Linked DNA regions of Tribolium castaneum. The protein of the gene in region 1 purifies or fractionates together with the protein of each later gene. This does not show direct contact. Links are inferred from orthologs where the notes say so. Each region holds a gene or a part of one and is shown on either strand. Other genes may lie near its edges.

Evidence for each region.
Region 2: the proteins of aurA (region 1) and ArfGAP1 purify together in Homo sapiens (affinity purification with mass spectrometry; 3 studies listed by BioGRID and IntAct, counting the BioPlex papers as one, with this or other methods). This does not show direct contact. The link is inferred for Tribolium castaneum from reciprocal best matches to the Homo sapiens genes AURKA and ARFGAP1.
Region 3: the proteins of aurA (region 1) and Cdc37 purify together in Homo sapiens (affinity purification with mass spectrometry; 3 studies listed by BioGRID and IntAct, with this or other methods). This does not show direct contact. The link is inferred for Tribolium castaneum from reciprocal best matches to the Homo sapiens genes AURKA and CDC37.
Region 4: the proteins of aurA (region 1) and Dcr-1 purify together in Homo sapiens (affinity purification with mass spectrometry; 4 studies listed by BioGRID and IntAct, counting the BioPlex papers as one, with this or other methods). This does not show direct contact. The link is inferred for Tribolium castaneum from reciprocal best matches to the Homo sapiens genes AURKA and DICER1.

What each region holds. Positions count from the first base shown.
Region 1 is NC_087394.1:2,111,422-2,117,583, forward strand, and holds aurA (aurora kinase A), read left to right. Parts: upstream 1-2,356; 5' UTR 2,357-2,441; coding exon 2,442-2,868; intron 2,869-5,082; coding exon 5,083-5,624; 3' UTR 5,625-5,750; downstream 5,751-6,162. Other genes in the region: mitochondrial inner membrane protein OXA1L, read right to left, coding at 5,812-5,966. UniProt on the Homo sapiens protein: Mitotic serine/threonine kinase that contributes to the regulation of cell cycle progression.
Region 2 is NC_087394.1:1,533,919-1,539,814, reverse strand, and holds the start of ArfGAP1 (ADP-ribosylation factor GTPase-activating protein 1), read right to left. Parts: upstream 4,107-5,896; 5' UTR 3,961-4,106; coding exon 3,901-3,960; intron 3,831-3,900; coding exon 3,445-3,830; intron 436-3,444; coding exon 177-435; intron 115-176; coding exon 1-114. UniProt on the Homo sapiens protein: GTPase-activating protein (GAP) for the ADP ribosylation factor 1 (ARF1). Involved in membrane trafficking and /or vesicle transport.
Region 3 is NC_087398.1:2,271,715-2,276,827, reverse strand, and holds Cdc37 (hsp90 co-chaperone Cdc37), read right to left. Parts: upstream 2,616-5,113; 5' UTR 2,489-2,615; coding exon 2,456-2,488; intron 2,409-2,455; coding exon 2,118-2,408; intron 2,071-2,117; coding exon 1,792-2,070; intron 1,717-1,791; coding exon 1,228-1,716; 3' UTR 1,115-1,227; downstream 1-1,114. Other genes in the region: Spase25 (signal peptidase complex subunit 2), read right to left, coding at 1-167, 213-371, 424-557, 605-670, 763-798; queuosine 5'-phosphate N-glycosylase/hydrolase, read right to left, coding at 2,925-3,821, 3,875-3,970. UniProt on the Homo sapiens protein: Co-chaperone that binds to numerous kinases and promotes their interaction with the Hsp90 complex, resulting in stabilization and promotion of their activity. Inhibits HSP90AA1 ATPase activity.
Region 4 is NC_087403.1:8,546,400-8,552,492, forward strand, and holds the start of Dcr-1 (endoribonuclease Dcr-1), read right to left. Parts: upstream 3,850-6,093; 5' UTR 3,726-3,849; intron 3,665-3,725; 5' UTR 3,634-3,664; coding exon 2,365-3,633; intron 1,227-2,364; coding exon 174-1,226; intron 127-173; coding exon 1-126. Other genes in the region: probable elongation factor 1-delta, read right to left, coding at 5,309-5,589. UniProt on the Homo sapiens protein: Double-stranded RNA (dsRNA) endoribonuclease playing a central role in short dsRNA-mediated post-transcriptional gene silencing.

The DNA.
Region 1 (6,162 bases):
AACTTTTTGACATCGTTGAATGCAGTGTGACATTGCTCGCCAAAGGTTGCTTAATATTTTGGATTTTTGGATAAATTCGTGGATTTAATTTGAAATCACACTACCAAAAGATGGCATAAGTAGTTTCTATTAACGACCGTGCCACGTACCCCAAATTTACAGAAATCTGCATAGATAACGCACGTGGCGCCGCATGTTGATAGTATGATTTAATAAACCATTTCTCCTATGCCGCTTGACTAACCCTGGTCGTGGGTCAGGATTCAGTTATTTGATTTACTTTAATTTTAGACACAATCGTTGAAAATAAACATAATGTCAGACGAATTACATTTTACTTATAACATTTAATAAATATCAAGACAATCAAGACTTACCTGTTAATCGATGCACAACACGCTCACGACGCTCACACGCTGCTACAAGGTGTCAACTGTCAACCACAGAACAAGGGTTAGTTCAAACCGCTGCCAACGGTCGCACGCAAAAACCCTAACCCGGTCCCAAATCCGGGGAAATGAAAATTTCCGGGAAAAACAACCGGAACTTGGCAACAATAAATCAAGTGACGTTTCGTACTTGTCTTTTTTTCCAAAACAAATGTCATAGTCACAATGCGAGAAAATAAGTGCTAAAGATCGGTTCGTTTTCTCATAAGATGGAAAATCCTCTAACCAAAAGTGAGGAGAAGAAGTTCGGGTACCCCAAAGTACGAGATTCGGACGTTAAAAATGAAAAACCCAAAGTCGAAGTTAGGCGCTTGCAGTACGACCCTAACCCTAAGGTCGGGGACTGGAAAAAGACGTGCTCGCCCAGCTGTTGCCCCTCGTTATCGGGCGAAGAACGCCTGGTTTGTATAATTTGATTCGATTTTGGGACCAATTTTCAAAAACGCAACTTGGCCACACTGTAGGGCGGCGTTGCCGGGTTGTGCCCTGGCGCACTTTCCGCAAGTTTATCGAACAGCTGGTAGGATTACGTAATTTGCGATAATATCCAACAAATGTGCTTTGTTGTCCCGATTAGGGAAAAAAATCAGTGATAAGTGGTACAGGGACTTGGAAATAGGCACCAAGTGGGGTCGCTGATGTGGCAATGCCATCTAGGTATATTGTATCAGAATGGCACAAACTACGTAAATTTGTATTACAAGAAAACAAAATAACTTGTTTTTAGATGTTCACACCTTTAATAAATTTTTTTGGTAAAGTTGTCTTTTTCGCCTATTTTTTCTGTGATGTCCGAAAAGGGGTGATCAGGTAATAATCCGTTTTGACCTGATAAGATGCGGTGCCGAATTTCTAGGACTCGAACACGTAAAGAGAGGGTGCCCGGTATTTGGGGATTCAATAGTGCCCAATTTATGCACGCCTGTTATCATAACTCGCCTGTTTTGGTAATAATATTGTCCGATTTTGGGAAATAGAAAATAAAGATGCAATAAATGATAATTTACTGGACACCCTTCACAGAATTCTTGTGAAAAACATTTTAACAAAACACATGGGCGGTTTATGGTTTATGGTTTACGGTCCTTTTAAGCAAACGCCGCCTGATGCGCAAAATAGCTTTAAACCGTTTGTTGTCGGTGGAGAAAAGGAGAGCTAGGGATCATAAACTAAATGAGGGGTACGTACATTTCGTTCATGAAAAATTATTTAAAATTGGAACTCGTAGTAAACGATTCTACCGAAAATTCTTTTCACTTATCACACAGTTGTGTAATTATAATTAATGAAAACAGTGATAGTACCAAGTTGATTGTAGTCTGACTGTTCATGTAAAGCTCTAATAAATTGAGTATAAATGATAATCTGTTAGCAGGCCCGGTAATTCAGCCTGATTTATTTCCGATTTTAATTCAATTTCGGATATATTTTTTAACATTGTTCCGACAACTAAAAGGCCATAATTTTATTTTTGAAAAATGTCTTTTTTATTGTTGAATTGGTGGTCAAAAGGGCATTGTGTGACAAAACCGATTTCGGGGTGAAATGGGGCGATAGTGCATTTGCGGAGCTATAAATATTGAAATTAGGTGAAAAAGTGGGAAAAATTAAGAAGCAATTTGTGGTAAATAATTGAGTTTTTCGCTATTAGCAAAGTGACTTTCTTAAAATGTCATTTTTAAGAGGGTGTTTAGTGTTTTTTCGGATTTTTATTTTATTAAACGGTTTCAAAGCTGACAACCAAACATACATCTACGCAAATTGAAACGTATTTTGCTAGTGTGAAACTGGCTTCATGTTCGGGTTTCTTCGGAATTTCGAGGAGCTGGTTTGGGGAGCTGTCTTCACACAAATTTGTTTTGGGTTTTTCGTGTTGGAGTGTTGGCAGTTGAAAAACCGTTGACTTACGAAGTGACAATTCAAATTCGAACTTATCACAAGTTGAAATTGTGCAAAAGTGTTAAGTCGGAGTGAAGTGTTTTTGTTGTAAATATGTCCCAAAGGAAGGCCCCCGTGTGCCAAAACAAGGAGAACAACGTTCCGCGCGCCGCGGCGAAAAAGGGCCCCCCGGCGCAAAAGGGGGCTCTCTCCGAGAACAAGGCCCAGAAGGGGGCTGCAAGTGACACGGCTCAGGAGAGTTCGAAGGGGCGGCGTTGGACCTTGGCGGACTTCGATATCGGGAAGCCCCTCGGGCGTGGTAAATTCGGAAACGTGTACTTAGCTCGCGAAAAACAGTCGAAATTTGTCGTTGCGCTTAAAGTGCTGTTCAAAAGTGCGATCAAAGACTTCAATAACGAGCACCAAGTGCGGAGGGAAATCGAGATTCAGTCGCACTTGAGACACAACAATATTCTGCGAATGTATGGCTATTTTCACGACGAGTCGAGGGTCTACATAATACTGGAATACGCCCCCAATGGTAAGCCCCCACGTACAGTGGTCCAAACTGCTCAAAACCCGCCAGAAATTGGTGAAATCATTAAATTTCATGTGTTTTATTAACAAAAAAACACATTTAAATTGGGGCTCAATAAACAATGAATGAAAAACAAGAGTTATTCGGAAAAATCTTCTAAAAGAAGAGCCTTCTGAAAGTTGCAAACTAAGCATTTTTGAATGATTTCAGTAAATGGTTGAGAAAGATTTATAAAATTTGTGGGTTAGTTATTACATTAAGTTAAATGGGGAACAAAGTTACTACTAAAAGCTGTCTTAACTAAAATAAAACCATTAACTACTATTTTAAAAAAACGTCTTGAGGTCAATACATTGGATACGGAAAAGTGGCTGACTATTATAAACTAAATAAAAACAATTTAAAACAATAAAATTTGTTTTTTCCATTCCCAAAAAAAAATATTTTCAATGTTGAAAAATCTGGAATGACGAGAGTAAGCTTTGAATTATCAGTGTTAAGAAGACTTTAAACTAAAATTTTTAATTTATGGTGCACTGAATTTGAAGGCAAAAAAATGTTGGTTTTTGTTACCAAATTAAATGAAAATGTATTTTCACTGTTTATTTGTTATGTCAGTAAAACTATTTCGCATTGTTTTGTAATATTATATTATATGAAAGTAGATTTAATTTTTATACTTTTTTTTACGAAATTTATTTTGATAAAACTTTGTAAATCGGTAAAAAAAGTCATGTCATATATACGAGAAATTATTATATTGAAAGTTATTACTAAAGTTCGGATTCCTAGCATTTTGCTAATTAAGCTTTTCTTTTTCAAATGAACCAATTTTCTTAACTTTTATTTGTCAGTTTGGCTAAAAAACTATGCTTTTATGCCAAAAAGCGTTTTTTCTGCTATTTTTATGCTAAGGTTGATAATTCTCAAGTTTTTTCAGTGTTAATATTATATAATAGTTTTAATTTTTCAAACTAATGAACATTTTGAGACGTCTTGGCGAAAAGTTTGACGAATGAAATTCAACAAAGTTGAAAACAGAATTTTTAAAAAATCGTCCTCGAATTTTTTTTGTACTAACAATTTTTTTAATAAAGGTTTGTTTTTGTAAAATATTTGATAAATAAATTTTATTTTGAATAGCACTGAAGTTTTCTTTAAAAAATGAATTAAAAAACTAGTTTTCTCCATTCATTCGAATCAATATTTTCATTGATAAAAAATCTATGGAATGACAACAGAAACACCTAAGCTCGACGTTTTTGTGATTTTATAAAAAAAACAAAAAAAATGGTTTAGACTACAAAGTTGAATGAAAAATTTATATTTATGAGTTTTTTGACATATTATTTATTTGTTGTATTTAAATGTGTAATATTGTGTATAAAAGCAGATTCATTTTTCACTTTTTTATTACTAAATCTATTTTTGTTAGCTATATATTGTTATTATTCTTACTATTATTTTGGGTTTGAAAAAAATCAAGGTGGCTGCGCTATTTAGAATTTAAATAGTCTGTTTTTTGGCATTTATCAAAATCTAACGAAAAAAGGGACCTTTTAACACAAATATTTTTTTTCAATTAAAATTAAAATTTCGAGTTTTTAGTTAAAAAAAAGTGAAAAAGAACATTTTTTTGACCTAATTTTTTCTGGTCGAAGACGTGCTTCATGTTTTCCTAAAAACGAAGAATTTTAAATTTGTTGATAAAAAACTAATTAAAATTAAATAATGTTCATTTTTTTAATTGTCCGCCAGTTAAAGCGAATTCACAACAAAAAAATAAAAAATTAATCGTTAAAAAAAATAAAAAAATTACGTGATTTTAAACATACAGAATTTTAGACAAAAAGGTAAATTTTTACCATAGAAACGTGATTAAAAAATTACCATCTTTTTTGTTTTTTGTAAGTTTGAGCGCATAGAACATGCTTAAACATTCAAAAGAACTCAAGAATAATGTAGTTTTCAACATAAATACCTGTGGGTGATTTTCTAGCCAGTTTGAACAAAATATCGCTAAAAAAATTACGTTGTCTTCCAATTTTTTTGAAGAAAAACATCGCGGTATTTTTGTTCCAATACAGTTTTTTTAGGAATTTTTTGCATCGTTGTTTTAGAAATCAATTAATTAAATTAAAAGAACATTTCGGGGGTGTTTTCCCCACTTTGGACCACTGTGCCCCCACTTTCCACCTTGATAACCCCCCTGTTTAGGCACATGCTACAAGGCGCTGCAAGCAGCCCCCAACAGGCGCTTCCCGGAGGAGACATGCGCCCGCTACATCCGCCAAATTGCGGACGCTCTCAGTTACTGCCACACGAAGAAAGTCATTCACAGAGACATAAAACCGGAGAACTTGCTACTTTGTGCCCAAGGCCAAATCAAAATCGCTGATTTTGGGTGGTCTGTACACGCCCCCTCCTCCCGTAGGACTACTCTCTGTGGCACCCTTGATTACCTCCCGCCTGAAATGGTCGTGGGGCAAACACACAACGAAAAAGTGGATTTGTGGAGTTTGGGCGTTTTGTGTTTTGAATTTCTGACAGGGAAGCCCCCATTTGAAGCGCCCACGTTCGAGGAGACGTACCGGAATATCAGCAAGGCCTACTACAAGTTTCCGCCGTATGTCTCCGAGGGGGCGCAAGATTTGATTAGGAAATTGCTTGTAGTTAATCCAAATGAAAGGCTTGAGCTGAGTCAAGTGATGAAACATCCGTGGATTGTCTCGCACACAGAGGAGAAGAGTAGTCAATAATTGTGATTTTTATTTAAGATTAGACTAAACACTGTTTTGTGTTTTTTTCTAGACTGTTTTTTGCCATTTTATGTGTACATTTATTCTTTCATTTGGGTTAGTTTTTAATTATTATTATTTTAAATATAAGTTGAGAATGTTCATAAAACTAAATTATTTATTTGTTTACCTAAATCCGTAACAAATTTTACCGTTTTTTGGCACTAATCGCCGATGAAGTCTGTTTTGTTGGGTCGTATTTGTAAGTCTTGACAATGGGGCCACGTCCAGCTTTTTGAAATTGCATTTCGTCTATTCTTTGACGTTCCTCCAATTCGCGTGTGATTTTTAAGTTAGTCCACGCTGTAAAACACAAATTAAAAAGTAACACGTGAAAATAATCACTTTCTATATAAAACAGCTTAAACATTCAATTGATGAATAAAAATACCAGTTTAAGAAAACCTGCGCGAAAAAAAATTGGTTTTTAGCTCAAAAAATGGTAAAAATGATAACATTCTTTTCAGAAATATGCAATTTTTCGGTTTCTTTGAGTTAA
Region 2 (5,896 bases), about 580 kb from region 1:
TACATGTGAGCTAATATCAACTACCTTCTGTGTGGCAAGTCCGCCATATTTGACGGCATTTTCGGTCGCTTTACTCGCCAACTTGCTCGCCGAAGACGACAAGAAGGACCAACCCTGTACCAAAAAAAAAAAAAAAAAATCACTAAAGTGCCACCAACCCAAATAAAAAAAATTACACTAGCTAAAGACGACATGGCCGTATCGACGAACTCCTGCGATTGGCTACGAGGGGGCGCCTCCATCGTGTACCCAAAACCACTGTACTTCCCCCCTTGACTTGGCGGTAAATCCCCTCTTCGATTCGCATTCTCGGCCTGTTTTTTCGCAAAAAACGCCTCCTTCTGGTCTTTGAACTCGGGCGAGGTGTAGTTCTGATAGCCCCCTTGGTACGACTCGGAGTTCTGGTACGTGGAGGCGTTCGAATACGAATTGCTACTACAAGGTGTGTTAATAATATATGATTTTTATTAATATTGTTAAAACTAAAACAGTAAAACCGTTTTTTTATTGTTTTTATTTTTTTTTAACAGTAATTCCTGAACTGATTTAAAAATAATTTTCGGTATATGTATTATGTAAAATGAGCCGTAGAATTCAATTGAACAAACCGCATTGCTCTACGACTTAACTTTGTTAACTTTTTACATTTTTTTTTATTTTCTCATTTACGGCTAAACTATTCTAAAAAGTGGATTTATTTTGATTCATACCTATGCAAAATGATCCGAGGAATCGATTGGAATCTAAAAAAGCGCCAAATTCCCAATAGTTTTTTAGTTATGAATTTTTGTGTACATGATCTAATTTTTGCTTTTATTTGCATTTTCTCGAAAACTATAAGTCGGACAACAATAATCTTTTTTGTAAATGATAGATCATTAAAAGAGCTTTCCAAAGATAGTACACATCATAGGGTTATCTCTAATAGTTCCGGAACTATTGCTCGAGAAATGTTCCGGGTACCCAAAATCGACAAAATTTGCGACGAAAATTGAAAAAATCAAACATCAAAAAATCGAATATATGGACTTTTTGTGAGCTTTTAACAACTTTTGAGGGTTGTTAAAACATGTAGAAGTCCATAAAAATTTACTGGAGTGAGTTTAAAAAAAATTTTTTTTCACCTCTTTGAAGGTAAGTGTGTATTACTCAGAAAATATTAGCAAAAAAATTGAAAATTTTAAATCTCGAGAAAAGCTGGTATAATACAGAAAATGAGCCGCTGAATTCAATGGAACAAACCGCATTGCTCTACGACTTTTAGTTTTCGAGTTATGAATTTTTTTGTTGAATTAAACTGTTCACCATAAATACCGCTACGCTAAATTTAGGCAAAAAATTTTAAATTTTTTATTCTTGTGAAAAATTGATATATTATGTAAAATGAGTCGTAGAATTCAATGGGACAAACCGCATTGCTCTACGACTTTTAGTTTTTTTTTTATAAATTTTTTTAGTGAAAAACTTTGATCGCCTCTGTAGCCGGAACCGTTGCCCGGAGCGGCACCGGGTTTGGACGAAAAAATAGAGAAAAATAAGCGCTATCAGATGGATTTTTGTTCGTTGCTCTAAGTCTTACAGTTTCCGAGAAAAACGCGAAAAAAGGTTTCCATTTTCCATTTTTTTCAATTTTCAACCGCCAATTACGGCGAAACTATTAGAGTTATCGAGAAACAAAAAAATGGAGGACACCCGGAATAAAAAACTCTACAAAATGGCATAGGACTCAAGGCGATATTTCGCAAAAAAATTTTCAATTTTCAAACGCCGATTACGGCCAAACTAAAAGAGCTAGGAGAAAACGCTTTTTTAGATAGGAAAGAGCACATCAAAATCTATAAGATAGAATCGGTTTTATTTGATTTTAGGACACTTCAAAAATTGACCGATTTCTAAGGGGGGCCCCGGGGTGTTAACTTTTTTTTAATTTTTTTTATTTTCTCATTTACGGCTAAACTATTCTAAAAAGTGGAACTATTTTGATTCATACCTATGCAAAATGATCCGAGGAATCGATTGGAATCAAAAAAAGCGCCAAATTCCCAATAGTTTTTTAGTTATGAATTTTTGATTACATGATCTAATTTTTGCTTTTATTTGCATTTTCTCGAAAACTATAAGTCGGACAACAATAATCTTTTTTGCAAATGATAGATCATTAAAAGAGCTTTCCAAAAATAGTACACATCATAGAGTTATCTATAATAGTTCCGACGTTATTGCTTGATAAATGATCAGGGTACCGGAAATCGACAAAATTCGCGACAAAAATTGAAAAATCAAACATCAAAAATTCGAACATATGGACTTTTTGTGGACTTTTAACAACTTTTGTGGATTGTTAAGACATGTAGAAGTCCATAAAAATTTACTGGAGTGAGTTTAAAAAAAATTTTTTTCACCTCTTTGAAGGTACTTGTATTTTGCTCAGGAAATTTTAGCAAAAAAATTGAAAATTTTAAATCTCGTGAAAAGCTGGTATAATACAGAAAATGAGCCGCAGAATTCAATAGAACAAACCGCATTGCTCTACGACTTTTAGTTTTCGAGTTATGAATTTTTTTGTTGAATAAAACTGTTCACCATAAATACCGCTACGCTAAATTTAGGCAAATAATTTTAAATTTTTTATTCTTGTGAAAAATTGATATATTATGTAAAATGGGCCGTAGAATTCAATCGAACAAACCGCATTGTTCTACGACTTTTAATTTTTTTTTATGAATTATTTTAGTGAAAAACATTGATCGCCTCTGTAGCAGGAACCGTTGCCCGGAGCGGCTCCGAGTTTGGACGAAAAAATAGAGAAAAATAAGCGCTATCAGATGGATTTTTGTTCGTTGCTTTAAGTCTTACAGTTTCCAAGAAAAACGCAAAAAAAGGTTTCCATTTTCACTTTTTTTCAATTTTCAACCGCCAAATACGGCGAAACTATTAAAGATATCGAGAAACGGAAAAATGGAGGACAACCGGAATACAAAACTCTACAAAATGGCACAGGACTCAAGGCGATATCTCGCAAAAAAATTTTCAATTTTCAAACGCCGATTACGGCCAAACTAAAAGAGCTAGGAGAAAACGCTTTTTTAGATCGGAAAGAGCACATCAAAATCTATAAGATAGAATCGGTTTTATTTGATTTTGAGACACTTTAAAAAATGACCGATTTGTAAAGGTGATAACTTTTATTAATTTTTTTTTATTTTTTATATTTTTTTATTCTGAATAACAATTGGAAAAGGTGTAGATGCAAATCATTTTAAAGCACCTTGTATTATTATAACTACTAGTGTTGCTAATCAAACTCCCAAGCGGCATTTTTTCAATTTGTATTTCAGAAAATATGAAATATATTTCAGAAAATCTTTTGTAAAGAAAATTAATTATTCACCTTTTCTGAAATATATTTGATACATTCTGTGGTTGCAAATCATTTTAACGCACCTTGTGTTATTATAACTACTAGTGTTGCTAATCAAACTCCCTGTGTAGTTCTGAGCCGGTGACGATTTCTCATCCCAGGCCTTCCCCTGAGCCAAAGCCGCGATCTTGTCTCGGTAAAGAGCGGCCGCTTTCGTGTTGTACTTCTGCTGGATGCTCATATGATCGTCCCAATCGTCCTGCGCTTCGAAAAAAACTCGCGCGTTCCGGTTGCCCCCCACTTTCATTTTCTCCAACTCTATGTCCTTCCACTTGTCCATCGTGACCGAGCGGACGAAAGACAAGTGCACCCCCAGCCCCCGGTGCTTGCCGGAGCACTCGAGACAGATCCATATGCCGTAGGTGACGGAGACCCACTGGGGGTTGTGCGTGCCGCATTCGAAGCATTTCTGCCAAGACAACGGGTTAGAAAGGGGGGCCCAGAAGGCCAAAGGCCGGAAATGACCCCATTTTACTTACATCGTTCTCGTTGTGGGGCTTGAGTTCTTGCAAAACGCGGCGGGTTCGGGGACTTGCCATTTTGGGGCAGTGGGTGAATTGGGGAGACGGCGGACTGTGGAGGTGTGCAAAGTCAACACTGAGACATGTTTTATACAAAAGAAATTAATTTTCGTTTAAATAAGAGAAATGTCAAAAAATTGTGTTGACGTGTGGGTTTACAATGCGGCGGAAAGTGCCCATGACCGAAGACGCTAACTAACCGTGTGGCGATTTGTTCGAAACCACATTTTTGCCTGTTCTTTTATTAATTTTGTACCACTTGACTCAATTATTAAATTATTTGGTATAAGTATTTACCTGGAGGGCAAACAAATTTAAAAAAAAACACAATTGTTTAAATATTTTCGGACTTATGATTCTTCCGAGCAAAAATCGGTAAAATAGTTGCGCAGTGAATTGGGCGCAGTTGTGTACATTTTTCAAATTTTGAAAATAATTTAAGAAAAAACGCACCAAGGGGACAGAAGGCAGTCTCAGGTGAGCCAAAACGCACTTTTTTTTGTCAAAATTGCCCAAAAACTGGCCACCAATGTCCATAATCTCACTTTTGGGAATGAAAGTCCGGGTGTTATTTTTGCTTGTATTTACAACAAATAGGTACAGGAATGTTACAATAAATACATTTATTACTCCAAATGTGTCGTAACTCAAACCTACTATCTACAAGCGAGAGTTAATTTGTGACGAGCATCGTGTTAAATGTTAACATACACTCCCTGAAAAGTAAAAACGAAACAAATTGACTAGATTGAAAAACTCTTTATGAAAACAACAAGAGTTAAGCTTAAGTTTAAAAACCTCAGTCAAATTCGTGTTTTTAAACAAAGTTGTAAAAAACTTGATGGAATGTTAATAACAAAACAACTCCAACTAGTCGGGGGGCAAGCACTTCAAAAAAACGCTCATTTCTTATAGGAAATTTTCAGATGAATTCAAATCACAAGTTTGAAACTTTGAAATTGGGCAAATTTTGGGTTTATATCGGATCTTTCTTCTGGATAAAGTCAGAAAGTTCATTATTTCTACAGTTAATGTAGAATTCTAGAAATACCAAAGCCGAAATAATTTCTGATATAAATGATTAAATAGTTTTTGGAAAAAACTTTATAAAAAAAAGTATTTTTAAAGATAAAAATATGAATTTTTGGGTAACTTTTGGAGGCTTATAATACCACAAAAAACGTTTAAAAAAATAAAAAATACAGATCTTTTTTTTTGCTTAATCCGTGTCCCTCGTGAGACACCCTGTACATGTATTTTCAAGGGATTTGATAACAAAATTAATTAAACAGCAAATTCAAACAACTTCAAAAACATCGATAAAATTAGTTAAACAAAAAATGGCATCACTATTAACTTTAACTTAACAATTAAATGGTTTTTAATGAAAATAATGATTAAGTTTACCAATCTTACCACAATGATTTGAACAGAGAAGTAAGTCTATTATAAAGTTTATAGTAGTATATTTTATTGTAACTTTTAAATTCTATAATACAGGATTTATTCGTTGATAAGTTGAAAACTATCAAAAATTTTACTGTTTTTTCAATGCTAATCAATTTCTCTGATCATCTTACGTAGGTTTTCATAAAAATAAAGCGTTTTTGTTCAGTATTAAAGGTGTTGTACTTGAAATTAAATTTACTGTATTTTCGTAACTTGATGTATATTCACTGAACATTAACCTTTATTTGGGCTTAGGCAGGCCTGTTGGTTAATAAATCAATCATTTATTTATTTAAAATAGTTCAATATTTTTGGATAGTTTTTCATAATTTTCTTCTTCTGAAATAAAAAAATCTCGCATTTCTAAAATTTCACGACAATTTACAAGAAAAATTTAATTTTCAAAATTTTATTTTGCCAAAACTCGAGCTTGTGTATGTATGTACGTTTGAAACTACATTAACTGACGTATCTTTTGCAAAAAAATAATTTTCTAACATTATCC
Region 3 (5,113 bases), on another chromosome or scaffold:
TCAACAGAGAATTGTGCAGCTTTGAAACCTCATTTTCCACAATTTCGTGCACTACACTACCGTTGACGTCCACAAAATTTGCAACACTTTTCTTTAAGCTTGTCTCCCGGAAAGCCCCAGTTTTACCATCTTTAAACGTGAGAACCAGTTTATATTTATCATCGTATCTAAAATAAATAATAAATTACTGTGGTTTTATCTTTGGGACCCACTTTTTTAAATATGAGCTGGCTTCCCATATGTTATCGCTTTTCTGACCGTCCTTCTTCTGCATACATACAGCGAAAATACCCTTTTCTACATACATGGTGTACAACGTTAGAATGCCCATCATTGTGAAATAAGTGCCCACACAAAATATTAATATAGGTCTGAAAAAACGCAAGTATTTATACAGAGGGGTGGATTATTTGAGACTCTTACTTAGAAAGTGGAAAGGGATATAAATAATCCCACAGTAAAGCAAACATGGCAACTCCTACTGCAATACTACAAATTACAAGGCGCCCATCCATCAATTTAAAATTTTCTACGTAATGATACTTTTTAGTAAGTACCTAAAAAATACTATTATAACAATGAACAGGGAGTCACGGGACCTCACTTCTTTTACTGCATCGTCTATGGCATTTTTCACAGCTGAACCGTCCCATTTATTTATTTTAACAGGCTGCAACAATAGGTTATGAAGCCAAATTTACAATTTTTTCCGTATTTAAATAACAAGCGTGCAAATTACGTGTTCATTCATTTAAACTGTACCTTATCATCCTTTTCTTTGCTTTCTTTTGGGGCCATAATCTTAACTGACTGGTTAAATTTTCAATTTTTTATGTGGTGTTGTCGTGTCTTGTTGTTGCGACACGTCAAGTGATGCGTCAGAACACGAAATATGGGAAACGCGAAAATACACCAACATCGGTGAACAAAAGTAACTACGCTTTTTCAAAAGAACGGGTTTTACCAAATATTTTTTTTAAATAACGTTGATTGTTATATCTGCCACTGAAACTGTAAATTCGTTTGGCTATTATTTTTTTCAAGTGGATGATTAATTTAAGTCAGTGAGAGAAAATGCGGGAATTGGGATGGGTATAAGAAAGTTTACGTCAAGTTTATAAAGTAAAGAAATTTATTAATCTTCAAGCATTCCTAATAAATTAATACAATAAATTTGCATTCTTAGGAAATAAAGGCTAAATAACAAAAATTGTAAAGCAAGTGACTTTAGGGTTTTGACTGCTCATCAGAAGGCCCAGCTTCTTCTTCTTCCTTCTTTTTGGCATCAGGTATCCAAAGACCCGCAGCAACACACCTCTTCATGTGATAGTTGGCCTCTTCTTCATCCATTTCCTTGATTGTGTCTTGCAACATTTGGATGTCTTGCGTCTCGAAACATTTTCGTAAATTCTCGGGAAGACTTTCCAAGACTTCAAGCTGATCTAACCCTCCTGGCCCTATCCTCGCTTTCCTCTCCTCCTCCTCTGCTTCTTTTATGGCCTCTTCAATCTTCTCAGCTGCGCGTCGTCTGATCCTCTCCTTAAACTGGTCTAATTCATCGTCAAACGATTTTTTGTAAAGAGGATCAGCTATTTGGATTTTGGAGAAAAAGGGGTCCACGCAGCCGCGAGGGTCGTAGTCTAATTGTTTGGCTAGTTCTAGGATGTACTGCATGCAGATGGTCTGGTGCGCCACGTGCTCCATAAGGTCATGTTTCTAATTAAAAGAACAATACATAATTTACCCCAACAACTCAGTGTTGCCAATATACATTTTTTGCCACAATCTTACCTCTTCCATTTCTAAATTGATGCACCAGATGACGAGGTAATTAGCTGTGTCTTCGCAAACCAATTCAAGGTGGTCCCTGAGAAAAGCCCGAGAGTCTTCATAACGTCGCAACATTCCAAAGTGCTTCAAATTCTTCTCGTTTTCTTTTACAAAATTTTTCATGCGACTTTCCTTCTCTTCATCCGTTAATTGTTCGTCCTTCGGTCTCGGAGCTTTCTTATTAATAACAGTCTTTGCAAAACCTGGCTGACTAATTGTGTCCACATTCCACGGGGCCATCTGTAAATCACTAAATAAACATTAGAAGAACTAACATTCGTACAAACTTTTTCTTTCTTCTCGTGTTCTTCCTGTTTCTTCTTAATCGCTTCCATTTCCTTCTCCAGCGCGGCCAGAGCGTCCTTAAGTTCCCTCAAATTCGCATCTCCGGCCTTCTCGGCTTCCGCCAGCTTCTGCTTGGCTTGCGAGACCTTCTTAGCATTTTCCTCCCTCTTTATCTGGATTTCTTCCGCTTCTTTCTTCATTTCTTCCATGCGCTCAACTCTGGCCTGGTGCCTCCACCGGAAAAGTGAAGGGGTGTCAATATTTGGATGCGTCTCATCCTCATCGTCGGAAATCTGCAAAGCACCACCTAACCTCATTTTTTCCTCCCAGACTTCACTACCTCAATATTCTTCCACTTGCTGTAATCGACCATGACGCCAATGCGAATTTTGATTCCTCCAAGAAAATACAACAATAAAACACTTGCACTTTTGAAATAAACAACAAACGTCACTTTGCTGCTCCTCCGCCCTCTGGCTGGCTTTCGCGAAACGTCGGCAGAGGATCATGGGTAGGGAGACGAGGGCAAATAAAATTCCAGAATATTCTTTCAATCATAATCTAATACTTTAACTTTAAAAACATTGACACGATTAATCTTAAAAATTACTGATATGAAATAAAACATGACAGCATAGTTGGCAATGAAAAAGTACGGTTCGGTTTGTAACAATTGTAACCATGACTACCACCAAAATGCCATATCAAAGTTTCATGGCCAACCGCTCCCTGAAATTTTCGATTAATTACTAATAAATTAGCACATTGATTCGGTCAACTCCAATTTTAACTTGATATTGTCGTTCGATTTAGTAATAAATGGAGAACGTTTTGTGGAACGGCAACTTCTTCTCCACGATTTCCTTGTTATGTTCGCGTCTGAAGTCCCACAAGAAGTGATCGATCAAAATGGCATTGATTTTCGTATCAGTTAGTTTTTTATTGGCATGTTCTTTTAGCAGCTCGACCGCATGGATGGAGCAAGCTCTGATCTCCACTTCGTCCTCTTCCCCGTTTTCGAGAATTTTGTTGTCTTGCAGTTTCTTCTTCAAATCTTCGCTGTACTCAAACACCCCGAAATATAGGAGAGATTGTGGGATTCTATAATCCGCAAACATTGTTATTTCATCGATATCTTTAAAGTGCCCAAGTCCTTCGTTCTTGAAACAGGCCCAAATGTCGCCAATTAAAATCTGCGCCCGCTTGTAAATCGCAATTTTCTTGTCTTTGTAAGTCGCTTCGTCCTTGAAGCACTTGAAATTGTTGACGATTAGGTCCAGAAGGGCCACAGCGCTCTTGTCAGCCTTTTTCACGCAATTTTCAAACGAACCGTCGAAAGTTTCAAGAAGGACGTTCCCAACTTCGTGCAAGCATTTGACGCGTTCCTGGAGGAGTGGAATTGGGACATCGTTGTCGCTTCTGAATATTTTCGCAAGGTCTTTTTCGGACACTTCAGAGTAGTATTTCGAGTTCAAAATATCCACTTTTTCCTTCACGGCTCGATTAATAGCCGCACAAAGGGCAAAATAACCAGTGTAGCCCTCCACAGTCCAGCCAGCTTCGGTTTCTAAGTGCCAGAAGCAAAAATTCAGAGTGTCCACGACAAATAACCAGTCAAGGGCTTTGGGATCGTCGGATTTTGGGTGCAGTTTCACTTGACTGAACTTCTCACTGGACAATTTCCCGCTTTCGATCTCGCTAACCAACTGGAGATAACAGTTAAAATGTGCCTTTTTTCGCCTGATACGCACGGACTTACCAAATCCCCCAGTTTTTTCACACCTTCGTCTTTGATTTTCACGTTTTTGCTAAGCGAAGCAACGAGTTTGCCTGACTCACGAGGTGATAAAGCCATTTTCTCTTGATATGTTGTGAAAACGCGGAGCTTGTAAAATCACAGAACAGTAAAGGTTAAGAAGTGATAATTCCCTAGTAAATCACTGGCAACACGAGAATACAGCGCCTCTGGTGCTGAAGTGCGTTACTACCACGGTAAAGCGCCACGTTTGAATAAATTCCTTTTATATTCTGTTTTTTATTATTTTTATCTTACAAGTTTTATTGCAAATTGTTTAAAATAAAAAAAAATATTTTCATTTTAAACGAAATGAAAACATTTTATATTTATTTTAAACAAAATTTGCAATGAAACTTACAAAAAAAGTTGTTTTGGGGTAATAAAACACAGATTTTGTTAACATTTTTATTGCACACTTGAGTAACATAACAAATTAAATTTTTCAAAAAATTAAAGTATTGTATTATTTCTTAATTATACAAAAATTATCAAAAAATTGAATCAGTCAGTGTTGGCATGTTTTGCCTGTCTGCTCCAGACTTAAAACAAAATAAGGCCTTCTTTGCAATGACTTTTACCTTGTCTGTCAGCAAACAGTTGCCCGCGCTACGACCACGAGGAGGTACATGCAGTGCACTGACACACTCGAGCGCAAATAAGAAACTTAAAAGTAAATTCTGAAATAACCTAAATAGAGAATTCTAAAAAACATCAAAAAACTTAACAAACAATTTTAAACTATATAAATTAAAACAGAAATATTTCCTCCAAAAGAACTATGTACAAATAAATTAAAAAAAAAATACATTTCTTGTTTAAATATATATCTACAAATCACAGCCTTCTATGTACAAATCACAGTCTATTTACAAATCACAGCCTTCGGAATTTTTTCATTTTTTCTATATGACCGGTGGTAACGGATTTTGCTTTCTGCTTGTCTCTTGTGTATTTATATATTAAAAAGGTGGTACACCTATTTAATATTAAATTATCACAGTCGTGAGTCATGCAATAGGCTGGCCCAAAATCAAACTGAGATTTATAAATTTCTTTGAACCTGTCTTCCAACATTGCGTGGTGAGCATAGGTATCAAGGAAACTGTATAAACAGTCATGAATGTTTTGAACAAGCCACATTACATGTTCACTAGCATACTTCAGTCGCCGCTGATTATCGTCAAATTCCTTGAATGAGAC
Region 4 (6,093 bases), on another chromosome or scaffold:
AGTAAACGTGTAATTTAAAAATTCCCTAATTTTGCAAATTTGATTCTCCGTTACAATTAACTGTGAACACAATTGTAAATCAACACTTACTTCACCCGATCTTGTGAAAATTGGAAAGGCACTTATCTGAAATTTAGAAATTAGACCAAACTTAATCAAGAGACGAGTCGCACCTTTGGTATTTCTTTGGAGGTCAGTATTCCAAACCCTTGAGGAGAGTCCTCCGGAGGGTATATTTTCCGCCCCCTGGTGTTTTGTTCTTCGGGCAAAGGGCAGGTCAGTTTCATTACGATTTTGTAAAAGTAAGTCGGTTGGCCAATAATTGGGTGACAGTCAAGTAGAGCATCGGCAACTTTTTTATAGTAATACTGCCGCCGTTTCGTAGTTCCCGGTCTCGGGTCTAGATTTTCTTCATCTGATTCTTCAAGCGCCGAGCTATTCCAGTCTTCTTCGTTCACTTTGAAATTCTCTTTGCCTATTGGTTGCAGATTATCGTCTAATTCCCCCGCTTTGTGTAGGAGTTGGCAAATCATAAAAGCTGCAGCTCTGCGTGCCAGTAAAGTATTAATCATTGGAGGGCTTGTCACCGTTTTCTTCACCGGAGAATTGATAGGTAACCGAATGGAACAAATATAACCATTCTCGACCTTCTCCTCATGCCAAATTGGCGTCAAGCGGGTGAACGTATCGCTGGGCAATTTTGCACAATACCGGTTGACTAAAGCTATAGCATTCGAGAGACTAACTGAGTTAGCCCCCGGTTCGGCCGACGGCTGATACGGTCTACATTGCAGAGACGAAGCATCAGCAACCAGCTCCTCATTCTTATCAGGTTCCAAACTGTAACACCTCTTCAATAGCGTATTCTCAACTTCGTTGTACTCGGCTAAATTCTCAACAAAATCGCTAACTTCGTTCTCGTTCGCTAGCAAAAGAAAATGAGCTTCGTTTGCGCGCGCTCGCGCTTTACTATGAATGTAGCTATGGAACGACTGAGGTAAATCGAAACGTATCACTAAATTACATTTAGGAAGATCACAGCCTTGTTCTAACGCCGACGTTGCTATCATTATATTGCATTCGTGACTTCTGTACTTCCGCAAAACTTCCTCCTGCCTTTTATGCTCGGATTCCGCCTCCCGAGGCTCGCGCACCGGATCTGCGATCTTATTCACGGAGAACGAAACCGACACCCACCAATACTCCTCGTCGCTCTTTGACATCACCTGACACAATGCAAACAATCAGCGGGCAAACCATCAATTTCTAAGGCTGAGGGGACCAGCTTAGTATCGCAAGATTTTGCCCAAAGAATAGAAGCTCGAGTTCAAACCATGAAGTCAAGCAGATAAATATAAACAAAAATAGCATTAGACTATTAAAGATAAACTAGACTTGCGTTGCTTCTTCTTTTCAAAAGAAAAGAATTTCTTAGCAAAAGTGAGAGAAGTAAATGCTTCACGTTTAAAGGAAAAATAAAATCACTTCAAACTTATGCAGTTCTCTAAATACTCTAGTGTTTTTTGTAAATATATCCACTTGAGCTTGGCAACTAAATATATAAACGCTAAGAAATTTAACACCAAAATTGACTATCATTAACAAGAAAAAAAAACATTACTCACTGCTGAAATTCTCAATTCTCAAAAACGAGTAATAAATAACCAAGAGATCTTTCACAAAGACTGTCTCAAAAGTACGCTTAAATTTGCTAATGGTATGATACATGTTTGTAAACGGTGTGGGTTTGAGTTCATGAACACCATCAAATATATTTTGCAAAAACATTTATTACCACCGACTGAAAAATTATACAAAAAAATTATGCTTCTTGTCACACAGCAAAACATTTGAAATACCTAATGATTCGGTAATTCTCACATTAATGTTATGTCTTGGTCAGCAAACAGGCCTGATTTAAATATGTCTTGTGTCTTTTTGGCACAAAATGAAAAATTATCTTAAAAATCTTCCACAGTGGTGAAAGATTTAAAAAATAAAATAGAACACATTTGCAACAAAAAACGCTAAAATTCTGTGACAGATCATTAAAAGTATGCCAGTGGGAAGTCGTGACCTCATTAAACCCCCAAAAAAAATAAATCACGAACTACTAGAAAGTTTTTCCTTTTTTTAGTCCAAACAATTAGTTGTCAGATATTTTTCCTGTTTTAATTTTGTGTTAAACATCAAGGGCTTTAAAGTAGTTTTTAAACAGATCATAAGTTACAAAATAAACGTACTTCTTCAATTTATGATTTTAGTGTTAGTTCTGTGGCAAAACCTTGCGACAGGCAGCATTAAAACACGATGGCACTTTAGGGCAACCCCTTAGCCTTACAGGAACACGTCTGCTTTACTTACACACAGTAGGGCGAAGAGGGCCTCCGCCTTGTAGCGATTTTTGACGAAAACGAGTGCGCAGAGCATCTCGTCGCTTTGCGCGCGCGAGATGTACGGCCTTCGGGGCCCTTTGTAGTTTTTCCCTTTTCCCTTCTTGGGGTCTTTGAGGTCTGGTAGTTTGTCGCAAGTTTCCGGCTTATCACCGGTCGGTTTAAACTGCTTTAGAACTTGGAGAAATCTGAGTACTTTCGGCGTTGAGAAACGAAACACCTTTTCCTTATCTGTGTAGTCTTGGAATTCGAGTTCGCAGAGAGCCCTTATCGAAACTAATACTGATGAAGCAACGCATAACAATAAATAATGTCTTTCGTAAGGAACTTTGACTTTGAGCTTCTCGATCTTGATAAGCATGCCATAGGCGGCTCTGTCGGCCGACCAGGGCCCCAAATCGTCCAGAATTTCGAGGAAGTCGTCGAAGAAGCTCAAAGGCTGTTCCTTGGGGTCTGGGACTTGCTTGAATTCCTCGAGCAAGTCATCGTCGTAGATTTCGCTCGGATCGTAGCGGTGGTCCTTGAGGAAATCCTGACAGGAGGTTATAGTGGCCTTGATTTTGTCCTGCAAAGGGCTTGGAATGGGTTTAAAGCACTCGACTATGCGTTCGCGCGGCCGACAAGATAAGCGTATCAGCGTGAGAATTTCACTAGAAGTGTCTACCGAGGAACTAAGTAATTTTTCTAAGCGTTGTAATTCGGCTTCTAGACGATCGGGTTGCATCTCGGAGCCCAAAAGACCGGCAGTCAGGCCCAAAATTCGAGGTCTGGGCGCTTGAATCGCCTGATACCGGGCCATAATTTCCCTAACTAACGACTGTTGCCCCCCGTATAAGCAGTCTATCACGATTAGAGCGTAACTGTCCAAATGAACGAAGTTCTTCTTACATAGAAGCACACAGACTTCGGCTGTGGTCACAATCACATTGCTTGCCTTCAACGACGGGGGGTTTTCCTCTTTATCTATGCTCGTAACGGTCAGATCGGTCAGCAGCTTCACGTGCGACGTCATTATCGGGACGTTCGGGCCGTCCAGCACGAATAAAGCCTGCTTTCCGTGGGGCACCCGCATCTTGTGGGAGAACTCTTGCAGCAGTTTTATTGTTATAAACGCTTTCGCCGAACTCGCACTCGAACATACGATTGTATTACGCTTCTTAGCGCTGTCCAGCAGCTCCACTTGATACTCTCGTGGGGTAAACGTGTGCGTGTAAACATTTTCGTTTAAATAACAAGCCATGTAGGGGTGCTGTACACAACGGAGGACTTATCTAAGCATTTTTCGTTGCTATTATTGCTGATTATGATTGAACTAACTTAGAGACGTCTCACCACCAACGGGATACATCTTTTCTCACTTGGAATATACAAATTATCACAAAAATACCAGTTTAGATTCAAACAACACCACACAGACCGAGCGGGTTTTGACAGTTGACAGCGTTTTGACAATCACTCCAAAAAAATTGAATGTCGGTGAAGAGCATGGTTCAAAAATGGTGCTGGCACCATCAATATTACAGTCGACCAGACAATTTATTTCCCCACCATTCTCGTTTTCTGCAGCCAATTCACACCAGAAAATTTATCAAAATAATCGTAAATCATTATAAAAACATCAATAAGCTGTTACGCTGACTTGCATATCACATTTGTAGAAAATCTCCTGACCATTATAATGTGTTTCTATTACAAATTAAAACTTAACTGTATTTAATTTCTGCATTTTTTATTCTCATATTCAAGCAATGCAAACTGATTTTTTTTCACCCCCTTTATATTCTGCAATTTTCTTTATCTTTGTAAAAGAAGAGTCCTTCGATAGGGCCTTCGACTGTAAAAATGGATTTTTAAAGATTCTTAAAGATTTTCCGATGTCGCAAACTTTTTTTTTCATCTACTTTATATTATGTAATTTTCCTTATTTTTACAGGAGATTATTTTGCAGGAGACTGTAAAAAAATCATGTTCGGACAAACACCCTTGGGACCTTAACAATTTTTTTTAATTTTTATAAAGTTCCTCTATTTTGCAAACTTTATTTTCTTCACCCACTTTATATCCTGCAATTTTCTTTATTTTTGCAGGAAATTAAGCTCTTCGATAGGGCCTTCGACTGTAAAAAAATCATAAAGTACCCCTTGGAACTTTAATGAATTTTTAAAGATTCTTTAAAATTTCCCGATTTCGCAAACTTTATCTTTAAAAATTCATTACAGTGTTCAGAATGGCCCCCAAAAGGCGAATCAATTATTACAGGAAAGGAGGGAAATAGTAAAAATAATGAATACTTTTGCAAAATGCTTTTATAGAAAAGTTGTTGTACTTATATTTTATTATGTGGTAATGAGTGATAAACACTTTTTTTGGTAGATAGAAAGCGTGCCTAACTGCTTAAATAAGCTTTTTAGCACACTCGTATTTTGAAGTTCTCGAATTTCAAAAAATAAAAGTGTTTTTTCTGCGGCTTGACTTTGCTTTAATTCTGTGTCTTCAAAGTAGAATTCTTAGATGGGGAAACTATGTACATTTTTTTTTCTTGATCCGTTAATGTGTAGAATAGTCGAAATATGTTTAGTCGTCAGCAATGAATCTGGCATTTAAAGACACCGTTCACAATTTATTAATGTTTATACACAACTTTATTCAACACATTTTAATTGCTATTAGAAATGATTTTTTTTTTATTTGACAGTTTTTTATTGCTATGAGTTCTCATAGAGTAAGGCACTAGTTTCCTAAGAAGAGCCATGCTTGTGCCAAATCACAATTGACTGCAAAGTCGATACTAATATGTGGAAAAATAAAAAAAAAACGAAATGGTTAATAAAACACAGATAAAAATTAACTATATTTATTTGGAAATGAAACCGGGGCCACTTTATTTATTTAAATAAAAAAGTACAAAGGGTCGCTTAGATCTTGTTGAAGGCCGCAATATCCACACTCTGGACGTAGTCTTCAATTGCTGTGATTTCGTCCTGTAGCCAGTCAATTGAAATTTTCTCGTCTTCAACAACACACGAGATTTGCAATTTGTGGATGCCGTAAGCCAAAGGGACCAGTTTGGCGGCCCCCCAGAGGAGGCCGTCCGATGAAATCTTCCTGACTTGGTTTTCGAGCTCTTTCATGTCGGTTTCGTCATCCCAGGGCTTCACGTCGAGGATCACGTTCGATTTTGCGATTAAAGCCGGCTCTGGAAATCAACAACCAATTTAGTTTTTTTATGAGGCGTCAAAACTATGTTACTTTTAGCCAATCAGCAAACGGCGCGCCAAAACGTCAGCGAGAATGCACTTTTAAATTTCATACGTATTTATATTTATATGCATGTTTGTATGCGAATTTTAATATACTGTACAAGGTTATTACAAAAATATGTTGTCACACTTTAGGGGGTTATTGCGACAGAAAATGTTTGCCTATCAACCCCTATTCTGAAATCAGTCGTTTTTTCCCTGAAGTCAGTTTTGTTGAAATACGTGTACTATCTTGTTCATATTAAAAGATTTCGATATTTATTAACTCAAAATATCTAATATAGTTTTTGAGTTAGAGGTAACTTTATTTTAAAAATTTTTAGTCATAGTACGTAGTGGTCTTTAATTTTAAGCCAGTTTAATTTAAACAAGAATTCTACCCCACTTTTAGCGTAAGAGGGTAGGGGGTGATTTGGCGCGACAAGGGCCCAGAGTTGGGC